Linked DNA regions of Arabidopsis thaliana. The protein of the gene in region 2 binds, or shares a complex with, the protein of the main gene of each other region. Each region holds a gene or a part of one and is shown on either strand. Other genes may lie near its edges. The genes, in order: XI-I, WIP1, WIT1 and RANGAP2.

Region 1 (5,433 bases), 2.6 Mb from region 2:
ATGATACCTTCACGGGTCAGAATTGAACGTGTGCAGAGCGAAGCCAGCAAAAGATTTGCATCACACCTGATTAATTTTGCATGGATACAACAAAATAAACAAGCTATTTCTTCGTATGCATAATTAAAAATGAGTACTATCAGAAAATTTTATGTACTTGAAAAGATCAGCAGCCATCTGCAGATGATGTCTAGATTCCGGATCCTTTACCACTGAAGAGTCGTGCTCTCTCCCTGAGGAAAACTCAACATTTCCAAGATGTAGAATCGCAGCAAGTGTGCGAAATATCCCTTCCTGATAAATGATTTGTGCAGGAAACAAGCAAGGAATTTCAGAAGCTGGCAGAAGAAAAACATATGAAAATTCAATTAGAAGTCGTTATACCTGCTCATCCTGACTTATGCCCACAATATCCATTGCCCTCCTTGTATTCTTATACTCTTCTGCGCTGCTGACTCCTTCTAATTCATAGGTCTTGCTTTGATTTAGATAATGAAATTGACGAGGGTTGCTTAGTTTATATTTCTCAGCGTCCTAAGCAAAATAAGAACATTTACAGATTAGTAATTAGCGTAGGTAAATTGACAAACTCAGCGAGAAAAACCTGGCGTAGCTCAATCAGATAATAAGAAAACCAAAACCAATCTCTTATGACATGTATATAGAGCTGTAAAAAGAATTACATTCCCCGAAGCGCACAATTGATAAAAACAATGATAATTCCTCTCGGGGTCTGTTATCCGGACAACACGTGATCTCTCCAGAAGATAGGTTCTGATTGCGGCACCAGATATTCTACCATTTGTGTCAAACTGGATTTCGACAAACTTTCCAAAACGGCTGAACAGCAAAAGAAGATCAGTAGATTGGTCAGTAGATTCGTCTAAAAGCTAGGCACACAAAATTTCAACCAAAAGGTTTACTAAAACCATATCAACATCATAAAGTGCTGTTATCACTGGGTATTAAGGATACTATCATGAAAAATTTGTTGACAAATGACATAAGAGCAATTAAAGATACACCTCTCAATTTTCATTGAAAAAATAAACAGAAAGAAAAAAAAAAATCAATAACCCACCTGGAATTATCATTTCTAACTGTTTTTGCATTGCCAAATGCTTCCAAGAGAGGATTTGACTGCAGAACAAGAATACTTAAATTAGAATAGATAACTCGCAAATAAAGAAAGTCAAACATGATCACCCCTAAATATTTATCTGCAAACAAATACCAGGGGAGGAAAACAAAGGCATCTATCCAGTTCTTTTTTTCTCATTGAACAAGATAGAAGACACAAATTTTATAACCAAAATCTTACTTCAAGGACTTGCTGCTCAACACTTCTATCATCGTCAGTAGCACGTCCCCCAACAAATGTAAGATACTGCATGATTAGTTTGGTTGTCTCAGTTTTTCCAGCTCCACTTTCACCGCTAACAAGTATTGACTGACTTCGACTGTCGTCAATCATTGCTCTGGGTTATAAAGAATAACTATGGTTAATAGATTAACATGACTGATAGTAAGATTTTAAAAAATCAGAAACATTAGAGAAAAAAGAGTGGATCACCTGTATGCAACATCAGAAACTGCAAAAACATGAGGACTGAGCTCACCGAATGGTGCTCCCATGTACTGTTCCATCATGTGCCCATTGTAGAGATGTGGAAGCTTTTTGAATGGATTAACAGCGATCAGAATGCTTCCAGTGTATGTCTGAAAAAGAAGTCGAACGTATTTGTAAGAAGATAATGCAGTCATGAATGATTTACTATTGGAACTGCGTAAAAAGCTGACAGTTATGAGTGGCAAAAAGAATGATACAGGAATTATTACCACCAATACTTCCAACTAAATATTATCATCTCAATGGGGACATAAATAAATTAGACACCAAGCTGCCACCAAATGTTTTACAAAAGGGCAAGCCAGCTGAGTACAAAACTGTCTAAAAAATAGATACTTTCACCTACTAAATACGGAACAGAAGCTCTCCATAACTTTAGAAGGAATATTGAACCTACAAATAATTCACAGTCACAGGGCAGTCCAACAAACTAACAAAAAGTTGTTACGAATACACAAGGTTGATTATCCCGCTCCCGCCAATAATATTGTTAATATTGAAAAAAGCAATAGTTAGGGTTAGATCACAAGATGTTTGAAGTGCGATTAGATACCAAATAGGCAAGTAAATGCCTGTAATGATATATGCATTATGTCACAATAAATTTCTTCACTTCGATATCTATCTTTTTCGGCTAAATAATATATCAGGTCACATCTAGATGCATCCATCATAAAGAACCTGAATCCACTTCACATGGAAACATGTCTTACACCACATATTAATACACAAGAAACTCCAAAAGCAACAGTAACTCGTTCTAGAGGAAAACTCCGGCCAGTGAGTACACTAATACCACTACGAAAATGAGTAAACTTCCATACGGAATGAAATCCGACTCAATAAAGTACCCCCGGAAGTATAGAAACTAAAAATTCAAACTCCAAATATACTCAGAAAGACCTCTCAATAAACAATACCAAAGAAAAAAAGAGTGAAAAGAACTCACATAGATATCATTCAGAGCATATCTCCTCTGTAGATTATAAAGAACACCAGCTTCGTGCAAGTATGTCAGTTTGGTCATATCATCCACTCCATTATGCTCTTCATCGTCAGGATCCCTCCGAAATAGCTTTTCCGGGGAAACAAAAACCTAAAACCCCAGAAAAAAAATCGCACAACAGCAAAAATTAGCATGAATAAAGCATGAAGAAGAGGAAGAAGAAGAAACAGAGCTAATTCAGCAGAAATAACGGTTAATCAGACCTTCTTCCCAGTAGAAGTTTCAACATGGAGTTTGTTATCAAAAGAATCGAGGACATCAGCAGCAATCCAAGCCAAATCCTTATCTTCGACCCAAACCTTGTCGCCCTTGCGCAGATTCAATTCCATTGGAAGACAATTTCTCATGAACTCGTGAAGAGCTCGACGAGAAAACCCTAGAGAATTAGATTGGGGGAAGCAAGAGTCATAGAGAGAGAAAGAGAGTCCGTGAGGTTGCGCCAGAGAATTTTTCAAATTTCAAAATGAAGAAGAATTGAGAAACCCTAAGGAGATAGAGAGAGAAGGGGCGAAATTTTACTACTGTGGAGTTTTTTTTTTTTAAAGGTTCAAAGTTACTTAAACCGCTACCCAAAAAAGTTCCCAAAAGCAACAAAAAAAAAAAAGAGCATCAACAACAACAATTACTTCCCGCCCTCTCGGATTTTGCATTAAAAAACAAAAGAAGACTAGATCCAAAACAAAAACACAGAAGTTTTTAGGGATAAAAATTTACGTCACATTCCGGAGTAAATGCCAAGTTTATTATCTTTGATTCGAATCATTTATAGGGTTTAATCCTTACTCGCAAAATTGATTTCACATTAGTAAAACAAACTGTGTAGTTAATTTACTGACGCTAAAAACTTGTTATTTTTAGTAATTTAGCAAATTAAAAATAGTAAGTCAAAAATGTAGAAGGCAATATTTGAATATAACATTCTTAAACGATAGTTAGTGAGGTTTATTTATATTTATTATAATTACTAGATCTCTTTTATAGAGAAAATATTCCAAAATTTGTTGTCGATTATTGTTGTTGTAATTTCATATATGGTGATGAGAGTCCAAATAAGAGTTTGGGGGAAGAAGAAGTCCAAATTATTATCATCCAATACGCATGAGTCCAAATTTACATTCCAGATTTCTTCCTTCATTCATATTTTAGACTTTAGTTTCCAAAAAATATACTAAATTTTTCTTACCCCCTACTTATTCCAAAAGTTTTATTTAATTTTTATCTTTGTTATGTGAGTCAATGTGGATCAAAGCTTAAAAGGTAAATTGATAAGGTAAATATAAGATCTACATATAACAGTAGCAACAATATCATCAACCACGTACACAAAAAAAGTACTAATGTTGTTTAGGTTTGTGTCATCACACAAGCATCCTAAGAAGGCCACAGTACAAACTCCAGAGGCCTATATGCACTACTGAAACTTATGACTTGGAGCCATTTACAACCCAAACACCACACCACACAACACATTATTTCTATAATCTGCAGAAAAAGTTGTATATAATCAAACATTTGGCGCAAAACCCTAATCTTGCAAGAGATTTGGACTGCTGAAAACGCGTTTCAAACTAGGGCACACTGTTCGGAACTTTGACATGCTCACCGAGGATATCTGTTAATTCACCAAGACAAGGTTTTAATTGTTACATAAAAATGGATTACTTGCTAAGTTTTCAATATCGAAGTTAACACTCGTTTATTGTTAGTACCTTTGGACAGAAACGAAGATCCAATGTCTCGAGTGAGCTGCATCCTGATATAGCCGCTTCAACTCCTGCTTCGTCCATGTTACAAGACTACCAAAGACAAAAGGTACCAAAGTGTGTTTAGTGGTAACATATAGACCCAAGCTTAAGGTACCAAAGTGTGTTTAGTGGTAAAAGTTACGGAGCAAAAACATACCTGAAGAAAGAGACTAGCTAATCTTGGACAGCCGAGCTTCAATACTTCCAGAGAGCAACAGTTGCTAGACAATTCGAAATGGAATTAGCAATAGAATAAGACCACTCATTTCATGGAAGATAAAGAATATAAGTTATCTAGCAAATGCAAAAGCTCAAACCTTAAATTAAGTAAAACCAGGTTGGAACAGGTGAGATCAACCTCCTTCAGATTGACCGATAACGAAAGGTTCAGTGTTGATAAATGGTAAAAGCGAGCTGCAGGTGGTATCAGCACTTTTCTAATATTGGGGCAACCCACACAGTTTAGGTTTTGCAGTAACCGATTGGCTGTTTCAGCTGGTTCCTGGGTATTGTCACTAGAACTGTAGACCCCAAAGTAATCAAAAAGATGTACACTGGTTGAACCCCAATCCAGGTCATGCATGTTTACACATCCGTTCAAGCTCAAATGGGTCAAGTGTGTGCAGCACGCAAGTAGATCATCTATCGCAGTCTGACAGAGAGTTCCATATGACAGGTCCAACTCCTCAAGTGCCGGTAAAGCACCTTCTTTGTATAGAGGCTCCAATGATGAGTCAGTAAGATACTTACAGGCTTGTAATTTGAGTACCTAAACAATAAAAAGTCTCAAAGTAAGCCCAAAAGCAATATGAATCATGAATAGCTGATATACAAAGAATGCACACAACAACATAACTCAAGAAGTTTTCATTGGCAAGATAATGTATATGCTCTACTGCTGACGGAAAGGGAAACATCCAGCATCATACAAGTCTTAATGCCTTAATTACCTTAAGTTGAATACAGGACTTGAAGACGGGTTCCAAATTCATCAAGAAAGTGTACGATAAATCAAGAACAGTCAAATTTGGGAGCCCGTTCAAGGAAGACAA
Region 2 (4,911 bases):
ACAACAATTTCATGGAGCTGATATTATTATTCTTCTTTCTGATGGCACTGTTGGTATCTCTCTCCTCTTCAAGTTCCATATCGGGTATGTCTTTTTGTTGTCTTCCTTCTCCACCCTCCATCTTTAATTTGTTTCTAATGGGTCGTCGCTTTCTGTAGATGGTGTGTTTGAATCACAAACCTCGGTTAGTGGAAGGAACCTTCGTCATGCCAAGAAAAGTAAAAGCATCCTCATCCTTTTAATTTGTTAATCCGATTTGTTAATTTACTTCTGCTTTTCATTTTATGTTTACGTCAATGTGTGAATATAGACTCATGTACATATTTATGATATGTATGATATATTGATATATAGCTTGGTATGGTGAGGATTATGACGTAACGTCGGAACTAGGAACATTTGTACTCTTACATGAATTTTGGTCCTGTCTATAAGCTAGAGATGTTTAATTTATAGATTTCGGTTATGTTTCAGAACTTTTTCATCTTTGGTTTTAATTTAAAATCAAATTGTATCATTAGTGTTCTTATATAATATTTGTATTATTGGATCAGTGTATCAAGTTTGTGTATAGATAAGTATATATAAGTGGTGTGACACTAACTCTTGTTTTTTGTTTGGTTGGAAACAGAATGTGAAGTGAACTTTGAGTATATGGACTACAAGGTCTTGACAAAGAGGTGCAAAGGTCCAGCGTTTCCAGCCAAAGAATGTTGCTCTGCTTTTAAAGAATTTGCATGTCCTTACGTGAGTCAGATCAACGACATGAATAGTGATTGTGCACAGACAATGTTCAGCTACATGAATATTTATGGAAACTACCCTACTGGCCTTTTCGCTAACGAGTGCAGAGAAAGGAAAGATGGGCTTGTTTGCCCTTTACCACCTCTCTATTCACATAACCTAAACGCCTCAACTGCTGATTCGACTCCTCGTTTTATCTCGCTGTTGATCTCTGCTGCAACCGCTGTTTTTGCTTTGTTAGTGTTGACTTGATCAATCAAAGGAAATTGAAAGAGCCAAAGAGTGATTACATTTTGATACCATATTAGCTAACAAACTAGATAGAATTATCAAATTGTTCTGTTACTGACCAAGTGTCCAAGTGTAAAGAATACTTGACCTCCAAAATAAACAAAAGAAGAAGCGAGACTTACTTGATTAATTTTATTACCAGAGGCAAAACTTATAGCCGAATTGTTAACAAGAAAAGCCAAAAGCCAAAACAAAACTCAGTTTACATCAAAAATCAAAAGTCATGTGGGTACAACAGTATCTGGCTCCGGCAACAATTGAGACAGGAGCAACAAAACTACTGTTGACAGCAATACTAACTGTATAAGAACGTATGAAGTGATCTTACATGCTCTCTTCTTGATGGTCCCGGTGATTTCTATGCAATCGTTTTGCAGGTCTTGAGCTCTGTTTGTAAAATTTGCAGCCTTCGTTTGTACTCTTCCTAGCTTATTCAGCGTCTCATGGGTTTGCTCTTCTGCCAATGACTCTTGTTCATCAATTAACTTCATCTGACTGTTTAAGTTATCGATAGATCTTGAATATATCAGATATTCAATCTCGGCCTCAATCTTCTGCCGGAAGATGTCTTCAACCACAATCTCTGTTCCTCCCCACGAGTGTTTGCTTTGGTTCGTGGTGGATTCAAGGTCACGGATGTGTGATTCTTTCACCTCAAGCATGGACCTTGTTTCTTCTAGCATGTTCTCCAGTTGTTCAACATTGTTTACCAGGGTTACAATCTCGGGGTGAGGTGAATTTGCTTCGCTGACTTGTTCATGATGCTGTGGCATTGGTTCATTCCCGATCTCCTGGAATTGCTGAACCTCTGCAAATGAAATTTCATAAAGAGTCACATTAAACATCATAATCATTGTTCATGTGATGTTATTAGTTGATTCCAACATGATAATGCAGGCTCATAACAAGAAATAGTTATGTAACAGCAGTAAAAATAATGCAAGTTTAGATACAATCCGCAGCAAAAAAATAATCAGAATGGCTACCTTTTTCAAGAGCATCTTGCAAGGCCAAGAAACCGTTGATGGCCTCTGTTAATGGATCCATTTCATCTGAGTAACGATTGTCCGTGTTTATCGACTCTCCGCCTTCTCCTCCCGCATCATCTTTTCTCATTGACGTTTCCCCATTTTCACCATTGTAGTCCATCATTCTTCCACTCTGCTTTCTTGAGTCAGATTCCAAGCTGGAATAAGAGTTTTCCTTCTCGAAATCGACACTTTCTCCTCTATGTTTCTTACTATTCTCTACACGAATGTTTCCTCCCTGACCTGAACTAATCATTGGCTTCTCATACCTAATAACCTTGGGAGCTCTTGCAACCGTGGAAGACTTACTACTCCGATCATCATCTATCTCTAAATCCATACCAGCTGAAAAACCAACCCCTGCCACAAACCTAGAATCGTAACCACTACTCCCAAGTATATCAAAACCATCACCGCTACTTTTCAACATATTAACAGACCCAACAGATCCCTGACTCTCTTGTTCAACTTCCGGTGACTGAAACTGCATCTGTTTACCATGTGAATGAGCAACACCTGACAACCCTCTCTTCAGAGCTTTACTATTCTCCATATTCGCAGACGTGTCCTTAACAAGATCTCTCCTAATCCTCCTCCATTTTCTCAAGCCTTGTCCTTTCAAAACCGGAGAATAAGCACCACCACCATCACCTGGTGAATCAAAACTCATAGGTTTACCGAGTTCAACAGAATTAGAAGTCGAAAGCAGTTTCACACTCTCATCAGAGCAAGACCCGTTATCCAAACTCCTACCATCATCACAAACGTTGCTGGCACTTTGTTGAATCAAAACATTATCATCAACAGACTCAAGTGCAGAGCTTTCACTCTCCAAATCCATTGACTCCACAAAAAAATCTATCCCCCACCAAATTCACATCGGTTTCAGAAGTAACAGGAGCTCAGATCAATAACCCAAAACCCGAAATGAGGATCCCAAATTCGATCATACACAATCAAAAAGTCAACTCAACAAGCTATACAAATTCATTGGTTCCTTGACGGTTAAATAGAAATATAAAGGTCTAAAATTTCCTACCATGCCACCATCTATCGGATCAAAGAAGAGAAGAAATGATTCCAAAAATGAAAATCCAGCTCAATGGAAGAACACAGATTTCGAATTGAATCGCAAAGTTTTGGTCTTTTTGGAGAAAGGAAGGGTATACAGCAGAGAGATGGAAAAAGGAGGGTGAAAAGTGAAAACCCTAATCCAATGATCGGATTCGCAGATCTATAATTCTCTCGTTCAATGTGGAAAGTTTCTTTGTGGGAAAAAGTTTATTCTTTTTTCCCTCATGATCAATTTTGTTCCTTTTTGAAAATTACGTGTGGGTGGTTGGAATATAACACGTGTCGGAATCGCCTGACCTCTCAGCATCACCTTCTTCATTTTTGACCGTGAGATTGGACACGACATATATATACCGTTAATAATTATCATTTTGGTTATTACAATTTCAGAAAATTGTTGAACTGACCTAAAACATGGGGACAGTGTGAGAATAAACAGAGAATTACAAAGGGTACATACAACCATAAAACACCACAAGTCACATTCTTACATCATCTGAGAGGATTGAGATTAGCACAAACGAAATTGGGCTACTACACACTCATTACACAGACTGAAGAAACATAACAAAAAAAAAGAGAATCAGAAAGGCTTCTCGTAGCCTCGAGCTGGAGGTTGGTCCCAAGCTTGCAAGAATGCTGCACAATTGCAAAGACATAATGAATCTCAGCTCTTTAAGAAGCTAAAATAGAAAAGAGAAAGAATTTGATATTGGTCTTACTCAATGGTATTTCTCCGAGTGACATGAAGATCGAATCATCGTCTGTATTATTTGGTACTTGGTCATTTCCAATAGCTCCCTGAGACGTTTTCAGGATCTGTTAGCAACAACAAACATTCTATGTGACATAAAACTTGACAAGTAGAGTAGGTACCTCTCGGTCTTGAAGGCTAACTGTGTTGTTATTCTGTGGGACACTACTGGTTCCCTGGTTTATTGGAGTAAAGGAATCAAGATACTCTACCATCATGAGTCTTTCATTGTAGTCTGGGACGTCATCGATGCCCATATATGGAGCAGCTTCTTGCCTGTTAGATATGAAAACCCATTAGCCAAAATGTAATAGGTGTGTGTATATATAAGTGTTAAGAGTAGGACTTGGCCGTACTTTCTTCCTGGATCATTGCTGGACTTTACCACTTCTTGATCATCATCCAAATTAATCACTTCTATCTCTTTACCATTGCTCATCCGAGTACTCGTACCAAACTCGAGAGACTTACTAGAACTGCTGATTGAGAGATCAAAATCAACAGCTTGACGAGATTCCTTTATCCCATCATTCACATCCGACGCTCCCCCTAGATTTAGGTCACACATCTTAAACGAAGCAGGAAACAGCTGATGTTCTTCAGCATACCCTGGACCTGTTCTGCCAGTGTGTGTCCTATTGTATGTAGAGTTATTAACCAGACTTTCATGGCTGACCCTTTTTCCAGCAGCACCGTCAATCAGTCTTTTGTTGAACGAGCTTGTCTTTCCTTCTTCTTCCGGATCGCATTGGTTTCCGCTTGTTTTAAACATGTTGAAGCGTTCATTAGCTTCAGAAACTGCCACCCAATCTCTCTGTCTTTTTGATCCCTCCTCCAAGTCACTGCCTTCACCAGGCCTTTTCTCACCTACTTTCCCCACCGAATGTGATCTGTGCAGATTAGGCAATTCTAATCCTGATTCTTTCTCACTGTTATCCCTGAGAATGCTACTGGGAAAAGAATTAGACCTATGACATTTACTGTTCTCAATATATTGAACAAGAGCAAAATCTTCAACTT
Region 3 (5,925 bases), on a different chromosome or scaffold from region 2:
GTGGATTTTGACAGGCTATGACGAAAAGAATTGGAAAGGGAATGTATGAATGGGCAGCCAAAGTCGATGAGTATGCTCGCGGTATGGTTGGACCAACAGGATCAACTCTCTTTGAAGAACTTGGTTTGTACTACATTGGTCCTGTTGATGGACACAACATTGAAGATCTAGTTTGTGTTCTCCGAGAAGTATCTTCTCTAGATTCAATGGGTCCTGTGTTGGTCCACGTGATCACAGAGGGAAACCGAGATGCAGAAACCGTAAAGAACATCATGGTCAAAGGTATATCTGTCTGGTTATGTTATTTTTTCTGAGAATATATGCTTATCCAAAATCTTGACTTTGTAGTTTTTTTTTTTGTCTCAGACAGACGCACTTACAGTGATTGCTTTGTTGAGGCTTTGGTGATGGAGGCAGAAAAGGATAGAGATATTGTTGTAGTTCATGCAGGAATGGAGATGGATCCGTCACTTCTTACATTTCAGGAGAGATTTCCAGACAGATTTTTCAATGTCGGAATGGCTGAACAGCATGCTGTCACATTCTCTGCTGGTCTTTCTTCTGGAGGTCTCAAGCCATTTTGTATTATTCCCTCTGCTTTTTTACAAAGAGCTTATGACCAGGTTTCACTTTCCTCTAGCACAAAATAAAATTGTTCTAAAAGGTTTTTATTACAAGCAAATGGCCTTAGTGTCTTTGATGGTTTCTTTAGGTGGTCCATGATGTAGATCGGCAGAGAAAGGCGGTGCGATTTGTTATTACAAGCGCAGGGCTTGTTGGATCCGATGGTCCAGTGCAGTGTGGAGCTTTTGACATAGCTTTCATGTCATCCTTACCAAACATGATAGCCATGGCTCCAGCCGATGAGGATGAGCTTGTAAATATGGTTGCAACTGCTGCTTATGTCACTGACCGCCCAGTATGTTTCCGGTTCCCTAGAGGCTCCATCGTCAACATGAATTATCTTGTCCCCACTGGATTACCAATTGAAGTAAGTTCCAATCTAATCTTCAAATCTTTTGGTTGCAAAAACAGACCGTGGTGACACAAGAACTGCTTTATCATATTAGAGTAGATCGGAAGAGGAAGAGTTCTCGTAGAAGGTCAAGATGTGGCTTTACTTGGTTATGGAGCGATGGTTCAGAATTGTCTTCATGCTCACTCGCTTCTCTCGAAACTCGGTTTGAACGTGACTGTAGCTGATGCAAGATTTTGCAAACCCCTAGACATCAAGCTTGTGCGTGATCTTTGTCAGAACCACAAATTCCTTATCACTGTCGAAGAAGGCTGTGTTGGAGGGTTTGGTTCTCATGTGGCGCAGTTCATAGCCCTCGATGGCCAGCTCGATGGGAATATCAAGGTAGAGAGACAAATCAAAACCTCATGTTCTCACCTGTTTTTGGTTTTAAGTTGTAATTTTGCTCTTAACATTGTGTAGTGGAGACCCATTGTGTTACCGGATGGCTACATAGAAGAAGCATCGCCTAGGGAGCAGCTTGCTCTTGCAGGGCTAACTGGACATCACATAGCAGCAACCGCTTTGAGTCTTTTGGGCCGAACTCGTGAAGCATTGCTTCTCATGAGCTAGCTTAACCTTCTCATATGGGATTTACCTTCACAAGAGACTTAAAGAGGAGTTTCTTAAACAGAATTTGTAGATAATACATTCTGAATTCAAGAGCCCATTTGATATCCTGATTTTGGAATAGCAATCTGCTATGTATTGTAAATGTAGAGTTGAGAATTGACTAAAATAAATTCAATTACTTTTTAGGCGGTATCTCAGTTTTCATATTCTCAGTTAGTTGTTGTTGTTGTTGTTGTTGTTGTTGTTGTTGTTGTTGTTGTTGTCAAGTCTATTTGGTGTAACAGTCGCATGTCCCAAATCTGGAAACAAACAAAATATAGAACAGAGACGTGTATTTTCGATACTCGAGTTTTTTTTTAATAAAAGCATCTTAAAAAATTAGTAAAGAGTTACTGTCAAACAATATTCGTTTAATTACAAATCCGAGTCCTTCTTCTTCTTCTTCTTCTCGATCTCTGTATCTCTCGATCATTTCCTTCTAAAGGAAGCGTCTTTGATCTTAATCGTCGTGTCGTTCGTTTCTAACTGTAAGTTTTCTCCTTTTCATTCATTTTGCTTCAATCTCGATCGGAATCAAGTAAAAAATCGGAACTTTTACCTAGATTTCCTCAGGAATCGAAAAGTTCTTGTGATTTAGCAGAACCTCTATTGTTTCCGATCTCTTAATTCAATTACTTGACAAAAGTGATTATACTTTCTCTGTTGCAGTTATATTGAAAGATGGAAACAGAAACGGAACATGATAGAACTGTCTCTGTCGATGACAACGACAGCCTTGTACCTGAGCCAAGCTCAACGAAAGAAAGCTTTTTTGAAGATCTCTCGCTTACTGGGCAAGTTATGAATCCTCAACTTTCAAGTGCAGGCGAAGTTTTGACAAAAGTTGAATTGGATTTTGCTTTTGTCTCTGAGAAATTGGTCAATCTTAGTCTTCTTACTATGCAACTCGGCACGAGGGAAAATGATTTTGAGTCTTTTGTTTCTAAGAAAGAAGAAGATGAAGAAGAGCCTTCGAGTAATGTTGATGATGATGATGATTCTGCTGAGAAGGCATTGGAGTTTGATCTCTTGTCTTCAATTCTCAATTCAGAGGTGAAAGAACTTGAATCGCTTCTTGGTTTTCTCCAGAACGAGATTCAAAGCGCCCGTGTCATGATATCTCCGTTTCAACATGATGGAGAAGCTTTCTTGGATTTGGAAGGGAAGTTGAATGATACTGAACAATCTTTGGGTCAGTTAATGGAACAAGTAGTGGAAATGAAGAAGCAATCTTCTAACTTTCAGAGGTTATCTTCTGGTTTGGATGAACAAGGAAGCTGTAAGTGACCAATCTAGCTTTCTTTTTAACCTTGTTGTGATGATCACTTGGTGAGAAAAATTTCAGGCTTTAATGAATACTATATAACTTTGTTTTTGCAGGGTCTGGAGGGCAAACTTCAGTGTCTCAAAACGATGGTGAGTTTGGTGATCTGAGCGCTAAGATCAATATGCAGACTGCTGATCAGCAAAGGAATGTTTTAAGGATGCTTGAGAAATCTTTGGCTAAGGAGATGGAACTTGAGAAGAAACTAAGTGAATCAAGAAATACTGAACGAGAACTAGAGATGAAACTGTATTCTTCTGAGCAGGATGTTGTCTACATGGAAGAAGTAACCGAAGATGCGTTCTCCAGGTGGCTTGAGGCAGATAATGCTGCTGAAGTCTTTAAGGGAACGTCAAAGGAGATGTCTGGAAAACTCCAGATTCTTCAGTTCAATCTAAGTGGCTCTTTTAAGCGGGAAGACAACTTGAAGTCTAAGCTTGTTGATTCAAAGGAACGTTTAGAAGCTAAGGAATGCGCCTTGCACAAGCTTGATAGCAGCAATGCAAGACTTGCTGACTTTCTTGTGGCACAAACAGAAGGCTTAAAAGAGAGTTTGCAAGAGGCTGAAGAAAAATTGATTTTGTTGAACACTGAGAATTCCACATTAAGTGAGAAAGTTAGCTCCCTTGAAGAACAACTGAATGAATATGGGATTCAAACAGAAGATGCGGATGCTACTTCTGGTGCTCTGATAACAGATCTTGAACGTATCAACGAGGAACTGAAAGATAAATTAGCCAAAACTGAAGCAAGGGCTGAGGAAACAGAATCCAAGTGCAAAATCCTAGAAGAAAGCAAAAAGGAGCTTCAAGACGAGTTGGGGAATTTCAGAGACAAGGGCTTCACTATACATAAGTTAGCATCGCTTGAGAAACACTTGAGGGACTCAGATCTACAACTAGAACATGCAGTTGCAGCTGTTGAAGCAAGTAAAGAAAAGCAGAACTTGTTATATTCTACTGTTTCTGATATGGAGGATGTGATCGAGGATCTAAAATCAAAAGTTTTGAAGGCTGAAAACAGGGCCGACATTACCGAAGAGAAGTTGATCATGGTATCTGAGTCTAACGCAGAGGTCAACGAAGAACTGAAATTCTTTAAGGGTAGATTGAAAGAAGGGGAGAAATATTTACAGCAAGCAGAAGAAAGAAAATTGCGAACCGCCAAAGATATCGGGGTACATAACAAGATCATGAAAAAACTGGTCATGCAACTAGCTGCTGAACGAGAACGACTTCATAAACAGGTATTACCATATTCGTAAAACCCCAGTTCGCTGTTAGTTCATGTCCTTGTAGCTTCATCATCATCACAGTGGATTCTTAGATATAGTGACTTATTTGCAGATAACTAACCTGTCAAGAGAGAATTGTGTGTTGATGGTGAAGTTGAAAAAGGTTGGAAAAACTGGTTATATGGAAAGTGGCAATGGAAGTGAAGTTTCACCAAAGTCGGACCAGAATGCTTCTTCTTGCCATCAAGGAAGTAGACTTCAAGCCACCTTCATTTCATTAACTAATCCAGAGGTAACATAATTCTACCTTACAAAAAATCTGATCTTTTGCTGGCATCTAAGTGAGTTATACCATTAAGCTTTAGTCCAACAATCGAATATTATGAATCTAAGCTTGACGTTAGTAACCGTGGTCACCTTTTTGTAGGAGGAAGAAACAGGTTCAAAATCAGATATTGGAAGTGTAAGGAGATTAGATGTTGGAGCTCTTAGGTTCAAACACATTCTCGTTGCAATACTCGTGATCTTAATATCGTCGATAGCTTATGTTATATCCCAGCAAAACATGTAAGAGTCTTTAACTTTTTCCAAAATCTCAGTCTCCAGTTTTGTACTCTCTTTGTCATAGTTTACAATGACAGATTATATTTTAGTTCTTTTTGGCTACCCAGTTACAGAAAATCTGCTATATAATTAACCCCGACACTGGTATTTTGTGTTATTACAATATCTTTTTCAGTGTCAAGTATTAGTACCTCTCTACACATTAGTCCTTAATCTCTGCAATATGATTAAGACCATCCAATACTTGTTGCATCAATGGCCGTTTCTTTGTATTATGCGCTGTGCATCGGTTGATGAGTGTGCCCATCTGTGTCGCCGCATTCGCAGAATAATCGCTCCCAAGTCGGGGATCGATTATTTCCTCAATCTTATAATTATCTGGCAAGAAAGATGAGGTCCAGTAATCTACTAAGCCTTGCTCTTCCTTAATCTTTTTTCTATCCTTGGAACCCATTAAAAGTTCAAGCAAGATCATACCAAAAATGTAAACATCGGTCGTCATATCCAAAATACCTAACACATACATTACACAATTGTCTTAACGTTGAACAACGAAAGATTTTTCAGAATTTGTAAAACGAAAGTTAATGCTTTCGTGTACCTAACGATCCCCATTCAGGAGATAGGTATGTAAATCTTCCCCTCTTGAGACCTTCATCTACCAAGCTTCGTTTGGTTGGTTCGAGATAGAACAGTTTTTGCATTGTATTGCTGATGAAATCCAAACTTAGATATTAATTTCTAAGATCATAAACAAAAAGAGAGAAGAAGGATGGAAATAAAACAATTACCACCTCGTCAAGCATAATGTTATGCATCCTGAGTTCTCGGTTTAGGGGGCTGTTCTTGATCGAGTGAAGAAACGCGAGACCTTGAGCTGTTCCAATGGCTATCTTAACCCGTATTTCCCATGGCAATGCCTCTTCTTCTTCTGTTGAGGGAAACGTAAAACTATAGGTAATGCAATAGTTGTCTATATCTTAGAATGGACCCATTAGCTAGAAAAGATCTTAACTTCCGAAAATGTGACTGTCCAAACTTCCTTTGTGCGAGTATTCAAATACCAAGAAGAATGGTTTGTTGTCTTCACAACAGTAACCCAAGAAATTGACCAAATTCTGATGAGACAACTGTCCAAGAGACCTCACTACTGCCTGCAACTCATAGTTTTTGTAC
Region 4 (5,601 bases), on a different chromosome or scaffold from region 2:
TAACATTTTAAGTCACTAAAATTCTATTTAAATCACAAATACATAACACCCCCTAAGTTTTGTTTTTGGTAATTTGGCCTGATTTCTCAAGAATCAAGTCATTTGTTTTTCTTTCAAGTTACAAATGGACATCAAATCTTTTCTACCATCATCACAGCAACCTTTGCAAGTTTAGTTTTACAATACTTGGATCAAATACCCTAATATACTAGTATTGGTGATTTTGCAAATAGAATGACTGTTTAGATTGCCCTCAACATATATAACAAGAATTGTTTTGATCAACATGAACATGAATCTGGAAAAAGATAACTGATCTATAATTACCGGTGAAACAAAAGGAAATTTGATCCATTAAATCGGGAAATAGCATTAGGTATCTAAATTTATAATACGTTGGCAAAATAGGATAAATAGATGAAAGAGTACTCCACCAAAAAGAATTATGCTCATAGGGAGGAGAAGAGGATCAAGAAGATGACCACCACCATGAAAATAATGTCTTTTGCTATGCTACTTGTTCTTTTGTTCTCTATTGGTTAGTCTCTCACCATAAATTTTGATATTTTTGGGGATACAAAGATGTATTATATAAAAAGTTTTTGTTTGATCTTTACGTGAATCTTAAAGATGAAAAATTGTTGTTTGCATGTTATAGATGTCGTTGAAGGATCCGGAAGTTCGTTGTGCTGTAACACACATGCGAAATTTGGAGCTTGCAACACATACCAAGACAGAAAGAGATGCAACAAATGGTGTCTTGATGGATGTGATAATAAGAAAGGCGGTTTTTGCAAACGTTTTGCTGGTGGAGCAAAAAAATGCCATTGTTACTGTTAAAAAAAATATGTTTTTATGCTTGCGTTTGCAATCCTCGATTGCTTATTCTAACTAGTATTAAACTCAAAATCTTGTCTTCACTGTTGATTATATCTTTAGTATGTGAAATGGTCACTCCTGAAAACTTCTTTCACGTTAGTTTAAACTTTTCAAGTTAACAAAATTTGTTTAAAATCGTATCTAAACCAAAACGGTACCAAACCAAATAGAATATAAAATTGTTTTGCTCATAGGTATGACCTCAGAATAGCGATACAATCGTGTTTAAACAAAAAGGACCAATAAGCTATCGGCAAAAATAAAACTAACACCAATGTCTCAAATATGTTTTGGTCTTTGTAGCAGCAGCTAGAGTAATAATACTGGTACAAAACAAACAAAAACATTGAAAAGTACCAACATCACAGACTTAATCTTCCTGATTAACTTCAAGGTTCTTCAGCTTCGATTCCAGCTCACCATTCCCATTACCTTCGTTCTCTTCATCTTCTTCGTCTTCCTCATCATCATCATCTTCTTCTCCATCAGGATCATTCTCATCCAAAGCTCCAAGTAACTCTGGGGATTTCTTGAATATCTCTTTCAATTCTTCAATGCCTTCTTCTGATATGATGTTCCCGTCAATGTTCAACAGCTTGAAAGCTTCTTTCTTCACAACAACATGAGCCAAGGCTCGTGCTCCGGCTCTTCTTATGTAGTTGGTGCTCATATCGATGTATTGCAGTTTTGAGTGACCCTCTTCTATACAATTTGCAATCTGGACACATCCCTCATCTTTCAGCTCATTCTCAGACAAATTCAACTTGTTCAGATCTTGTTTTGCTGCAACACAGGCTGCGATAGCTGAAGCAGCTTCAACTGTTATGTCATTTCCTGCCATCTCTAGAACTTCAATGGGCGAAGCAGACTCCTTTAGAGCGTTTACTATGGCTATGGCACCTTCATCCTCTAGATTTAGATAACTCAAGTAAAGCTCAGTCATGTGTTTGAAGCTTGAAAGAGTTTTGCTCAAAGAAACTCCGGCTTCTGTGCCAAACATATTATCCCGCAGATCAAGTTTCTCCATATGAGTACAATGCTCAAGTGCTTCTGACAAGGCGATTCCCCCTTTTGAGCCGACTCTTGTGGAAGAACAACGGAAATTCTCCAGCAGTGGGGAACGCTTGACAACCTCTGCAATAGCGAGTGCCCCTTCATCTCCCGTCATGTTATTATGAAAATGAAGGACCCTCAAATTCTCTGTTGAAGGAATCAACTCGGAGACCGCTTGCGCAGCTTCCTTAGAGATACCATCATTCATCAAATACAGCTCTTCCAAAGAGCTCAGAGATTTTAAGAGTGCCCCAAACGCTCTAACACCCTTCTCACCCAATGCATTATCTGATAAGTTGAGAGACGAGAGAATACTACCTTGCAGTGCGTCAGAAAATATATTCATAACCTCAAGAGCTTCAAGCTCAGGTCGTCCAGCAACAAAGTCAGACAAGTCAACTTCCTTAAGCTGATCTTTCAAAGACGCCAAGATAGGCTCAGCGACACGAGCAGCTCCCAAGCCAAAACTCCTATTACTAAAGCATATCTTAGTGTAGGCATTGCCAGGTTCCTTCAAAGGTTTGAGAAGCTCCTCAGCTTCCTCAGCCTCAATGAAAGCCCGTTTACCTTTAGAAATATCGAAAAAAGTTTCGCGGGGAGACACAGAATCCTCAGAAATCAATTCTCTTGCCGCAACTTTAGCAACAGGTCCTTTCTTGAGAACTTCTAAGATAAGCTTACTGCATTCTTTGGCATAAAGCTGTACAGCTGAACCACCATCACCATCAGGCTCCCTCTCAAACTGTTGGTTAGCAGTGGAAAAAGCAATATCTTCGATCCTCTTAGCGTTCTCCGTAGCCTGGTCTTTGGTTAAGCTACCGTACTTCTCAGTGAAAATAGTCTTGGAAGAAAAATTGTTGGTTATACGCTCAATGAGAGCTTTTCTTGTAGGTAAACTCGGTGGCCAGAGTTTAATCGAAAATGCATGAGGTCGAGAATCAAGTATATCAGCCATTATCGCAAATCCAGAGTTTTAATATCACTGCAAAAACATACACACAAAAGTTAGAAATAATCAGAGGAGGCTCTATCGTAATCACTAATCACTTAGGAGGATTAACATTGAGCCCAAAGGAATAACTAATTGATAAATCAGAAAATGCTGTGACTAAATCAATAACAGAGATTAAGGAGAGTAATCTCGTAAAGATCGGAGATCCTATAAGTGGATAGTTTCGAGAAGAAGCATTAAATCACCAACTACGAGGAAGGAACATCGGTGCTTAATCACAGGGTAAAATCGGATCAGACAAATAATTATCCGTTTGCGATGAGAATAAACGGAAATGAAAAGCGTACCGGACCGATGAAGATTGTCTGAATCTCGGAGCTCTGAGACTCTCTCTGGCTGCAAAATCGAGTGTGTTTTTAGGGTTTCTCCTTCACCGGAGCTCTTTAAAACTCCCTCCTACGTTCGTTGAACCAAAAGTCTCTATAGACTAATTTAAAAAAAAAAAAAAAGAGAAAGGTTAATAATTCATCGTGACTTGAGTAATTAATCACTTTGGAAGAAAACGTAATTAATTAGAACCAACCTGGTAATTTTGAATCTTTCATGTTAAAGAAAACTCCTTTATGTGTAATGTAATTTTCAGTGGCTTGTGCTACAAAATACTTACAAGTTACAGTCTCTAATCATCAGTAATACTTTCGATTGATTCTTTATTTGTAAAACAAAAATGGGATATTATGTTCTGTGTTGAATCATCTCTTAATTATTCAGACATGAACTCACTGGTCACCACTACCAATATCAAATCGTTACAGCTACGCTTAGTCACAACCTACCCAAAGTATCTTTTCTCAACAGAGAGGATAGTTGGAGAGTGGATTTTGAATTGAATAGTGGAAGTTATACCACAATGGTATTTTTGGATACAAAGGGTAGCGATTTCATTCAAGACCGATTGTGATCAGAGGAGATTAATTAATACAATACAAAATGACCAAAACGAACCAAAAAGCACAGCAAATAACTAAGACAACCCAGTACAGGACGATAAAGACCTCTAATGGCGGCTCTTGATCTCTCTCTCTCTTTCTCTCTATATAATTCCTTGTCTACTTACCTCTAGTTAAGTGCAGTCTTCTTCTTCCGCATTCTACAACCTCAAGCTTTGCAGGTTTGTAGTAGACTTTGTTAGGGCTCTACAAAAGTACTCTCTTATCTCTGGTATTGTTCTCTGCACCAGCTCGTTCTGCCTGCATTTTCCATTCACTTTTGTTTCAGACTAATAGCAATAAAACAAATCTTAGTGGAGAGAGAGAGTGACATCTTGTTTATATTACCAAGGCATTGAACTCAGTTTATCGAAATGCTCCAGGATGAACATGATACAAGCTTGCCTCAGCGACATCGCATGGAATGCTTCTGATAGCTCGTACATGTCTCCTATACTTTCCAACGTAATATCCTTTCATATTCAAAGTAACCGTGTCAGATTTCGTTAAGTACTACGCAAACCACATCATCACTTTACATTGTGATATAATTCTGGCTCACCTGAGCAATTGTGTATTCACAGAGTCGTTTCAGGCCCTCCAAGAGATACTGATCCGCTGCTCTTAGAAGATCTTTTGATATCTCATTTGTTATGTCGACAGATCCAGTGTATATAAACCTGAAAATCATAATCCAAGGGAGTCAATTACGTGTATATGAAAAGTTCTCACAGACTTTTCGAAATTTCAATATCTCGAGTGAGTCAATCAAAAGCATGCAGAGGTTCATTCATCATACCTCATCATTAACTCAAACACCTCCCATTTGATATTTGGAATCTCAATATCTCTAGCGTCTTTTTCCTGTGATATAAACGAAACACAAACCGTGACACAATTCAGGTCTAATTTCCCCAAAAGATAATTGTATTCCTTTGATAAATAGCAGACCAGCATACATCCATACGTCATTGTCATCAAAATATCATTTACCCCACAAGAACATTATCGAAAAACCAAAATATTTAGTTCACTTACTCTGTAACCACCATCAAACATTGCACGAAATGCATCTGAGGATGCCAGCAGACAAATTCTGTGTGCATAGAATGTCCTTCCTGCAGTATGATTTTTCTGTTTTACATATGGACTTTGAAGCTAACTAGAGTTCCACAACTTCTGGATTTATATATGATTACCTTCGACTAGAAAGGTTACATCAGACAGCGTAGCATTATTTACATATTGCTCTCCGAGATAAACCTGTCACAAAAAGACATACAGAATACTGCATTGAGACTTCCACCCGTTACCTATAGGAGAACTGAAGCAGAAAGGAAACTCACCCTTTGTGTTGGAGAAGGAGGAGCAGCATCAACTGGAGAAAGTGCCATAGATTTATTTGCTAATTTGTACAACGCTGCTGCACCGTCAAGTTGCTGCTTAGTGTTTAAAGAACCAAGAAGACCGAGTAGCAACTCCAACCCTGTCAAAAGACAACTCAATATTAACTTTTTGGACAAAGAACATCTAAACTGGACGGTTAACGCATTAAACATAACGCATGCATCTCATTTAGCTCATGAAAATATAAAAAAACTGTCACATGCCGTTGTCATCTATGAATATGGTTCGTTGATCCTCGGGTGAACAGAGATGAGCAAGGGCAAGAGCAACTCGTCTTTGGATAGACTTCTCTGAAATGCGCATTAGGTACAACAGATGTCT

Evidence for each region.
Region 1: WIP1 (region 2) and XI-I share a complex: the UniProt entries of both Arabidopsis thaliana proteins name them as parts of the LINC complex.
Region 3: WIP1 (region 2) and WIT1 share a complex: the UniProt entries of both Arabidopsis thaliana proteins name them as parts of the ran complex.
Region 4: WIP1 (region 2) and RANGAP2 share a complex: the UniProt entries of both Arabidopsis thaliana proteins name them as parts of the ran complex.

Annotation. Positions count from the first base shown.
Region 1 is NC_003075.7:16,011,810-16,017,242, forward strand, and holds the start of XI-I (myosin), read right to left. Parts: upstream 3,161-5,433; 5' UTR 2,984-3,160; coding exon 2,840-2,983; intron 2,727-2,839; coding exon 2,580-2,726; intron 1,720-2,579; coding exon 1,574-1,719; intron 1,479-1,573; coding exon 1,322-1,478; intron 1,141-1,321; coding exon 1,082-1,140; intron 841-1,081; coding exon 684-840; intron 535-683; coding exon 385-534; intron 295-384; coding exon 158-294; intron 67-157; coding exon 1-66. Other genes in the region: SLOMO (F-box family protein), read right to left, coding at 4,162-4,248, 4,346-4,432, 4,539-4,602, 4,699-5,150, 5,332-5,433. UniProt on the Arabidopsis thaliana protein: Myosin heavy chain that is required for the cell cycle-regulated transport of various organelles and proteins for their segregation.
Region 2 is NC_003075.7:13,363,730-13,368,640, reverse strand, and holds WIP1 (WPP domain interacting protein 1), read right to left. Parts: upstream 3,359-4,911; 5' UTR 2,905-3,358; coding exon 2,022-2,904; intron 1,844-2,021; coding exon 1,257-1,843; 3' UTR 1,110-1,256; downstream 1-1,109. Other genes in the region: LRE (lorelei), read left to right, coding at 12-84, 159-218, 632-996; AT4G26450 (uncharacterized protein), read right to left, coding at 3,721-3,776, 3,860-3,938, 4,014-4,167, 4,248-4,911. UniProt on the Arabidopsis thaliana protein: Mediates and enhances the nuclear envelope docking of RANGAP proteins mediated by WIT1 and WIT2 in the undifferentiated cells of root tips.
Region 3 is NC_003076.8:3,631,663-3,637,587, forward strand, and holds WIT1 (WPP domain-interacting protein 1), read left to right. Parts: upstream 1-1,986; 5' UTR 1,987-2,115; intron 2,116-2,296; 5' UTR 2,297-2,308; coding exon 2,309-2,906; intron 2,907-3,007; coding exon 3,008-4,197; intron 4,198-4,297; coding exon 4,298-4,477; intron 4,478-4,612; coding exon 4,613-4,756; 3' UTR 4,757-4,951; coding exon of another isoform or gene 4,952-5,262; 3' UTR 5,263-5,272; downstream 5,273-5,925. Other genes in the region: DXPS3 (1-deoxy-D-xylulose 5-phosphate synthase 3), read left to right, coding at 15-282, 367-623, 713-991, 1,076-1,360, 1,439-1,588; AT5G11400 (Protein kinase superfamily protein), read right to left, coding at 4,952-5,262, 5,351-5,460, 5,614-5,680, 5,765-5,903. UniProt on the Arabidopsis thaliana protein: Together with WIT2, required for the nuclear envelope docking of RANGAP proteins in root tips.
Region 4 is NC_003076.8:6,504,061-6,509,661, forward strand, and holds RANGAP2 (RAN GTPase activating protein 2), read right to left. Parts: upstream 3,586-5,601; 5' UTR 3,468-3,585; intron 3,379-3,467; exon of another isoform or gene 3,372-3,378; 5' UTR 3,232-3,371; intron 2,915-3,231; 5' UTR 2,888-2,914; coding exon 1,250-2,887; 3' UTR 1,032-1,249; downstream 1-1,031. Other genes in the region: AT5G19315 (Defensin-like (DEFL) family protein), read left to right, coding at 478-538, 659-840; ARIA (ARM repeat protein interacting with ABF2), read right to left, coding at 4,035-4,134, 4,222-4,346, 4,436-4,553, 4,673-4,737, 4,912-4,991, 5,073-5,136, 5,220-5,359, 5,484-5,601. UniProt on the Arabidopsis thaliana protein: GTPase activator for the nuclear Ras-related regulatory protein Ran, converting it to the putatively inactive GDP-bound state.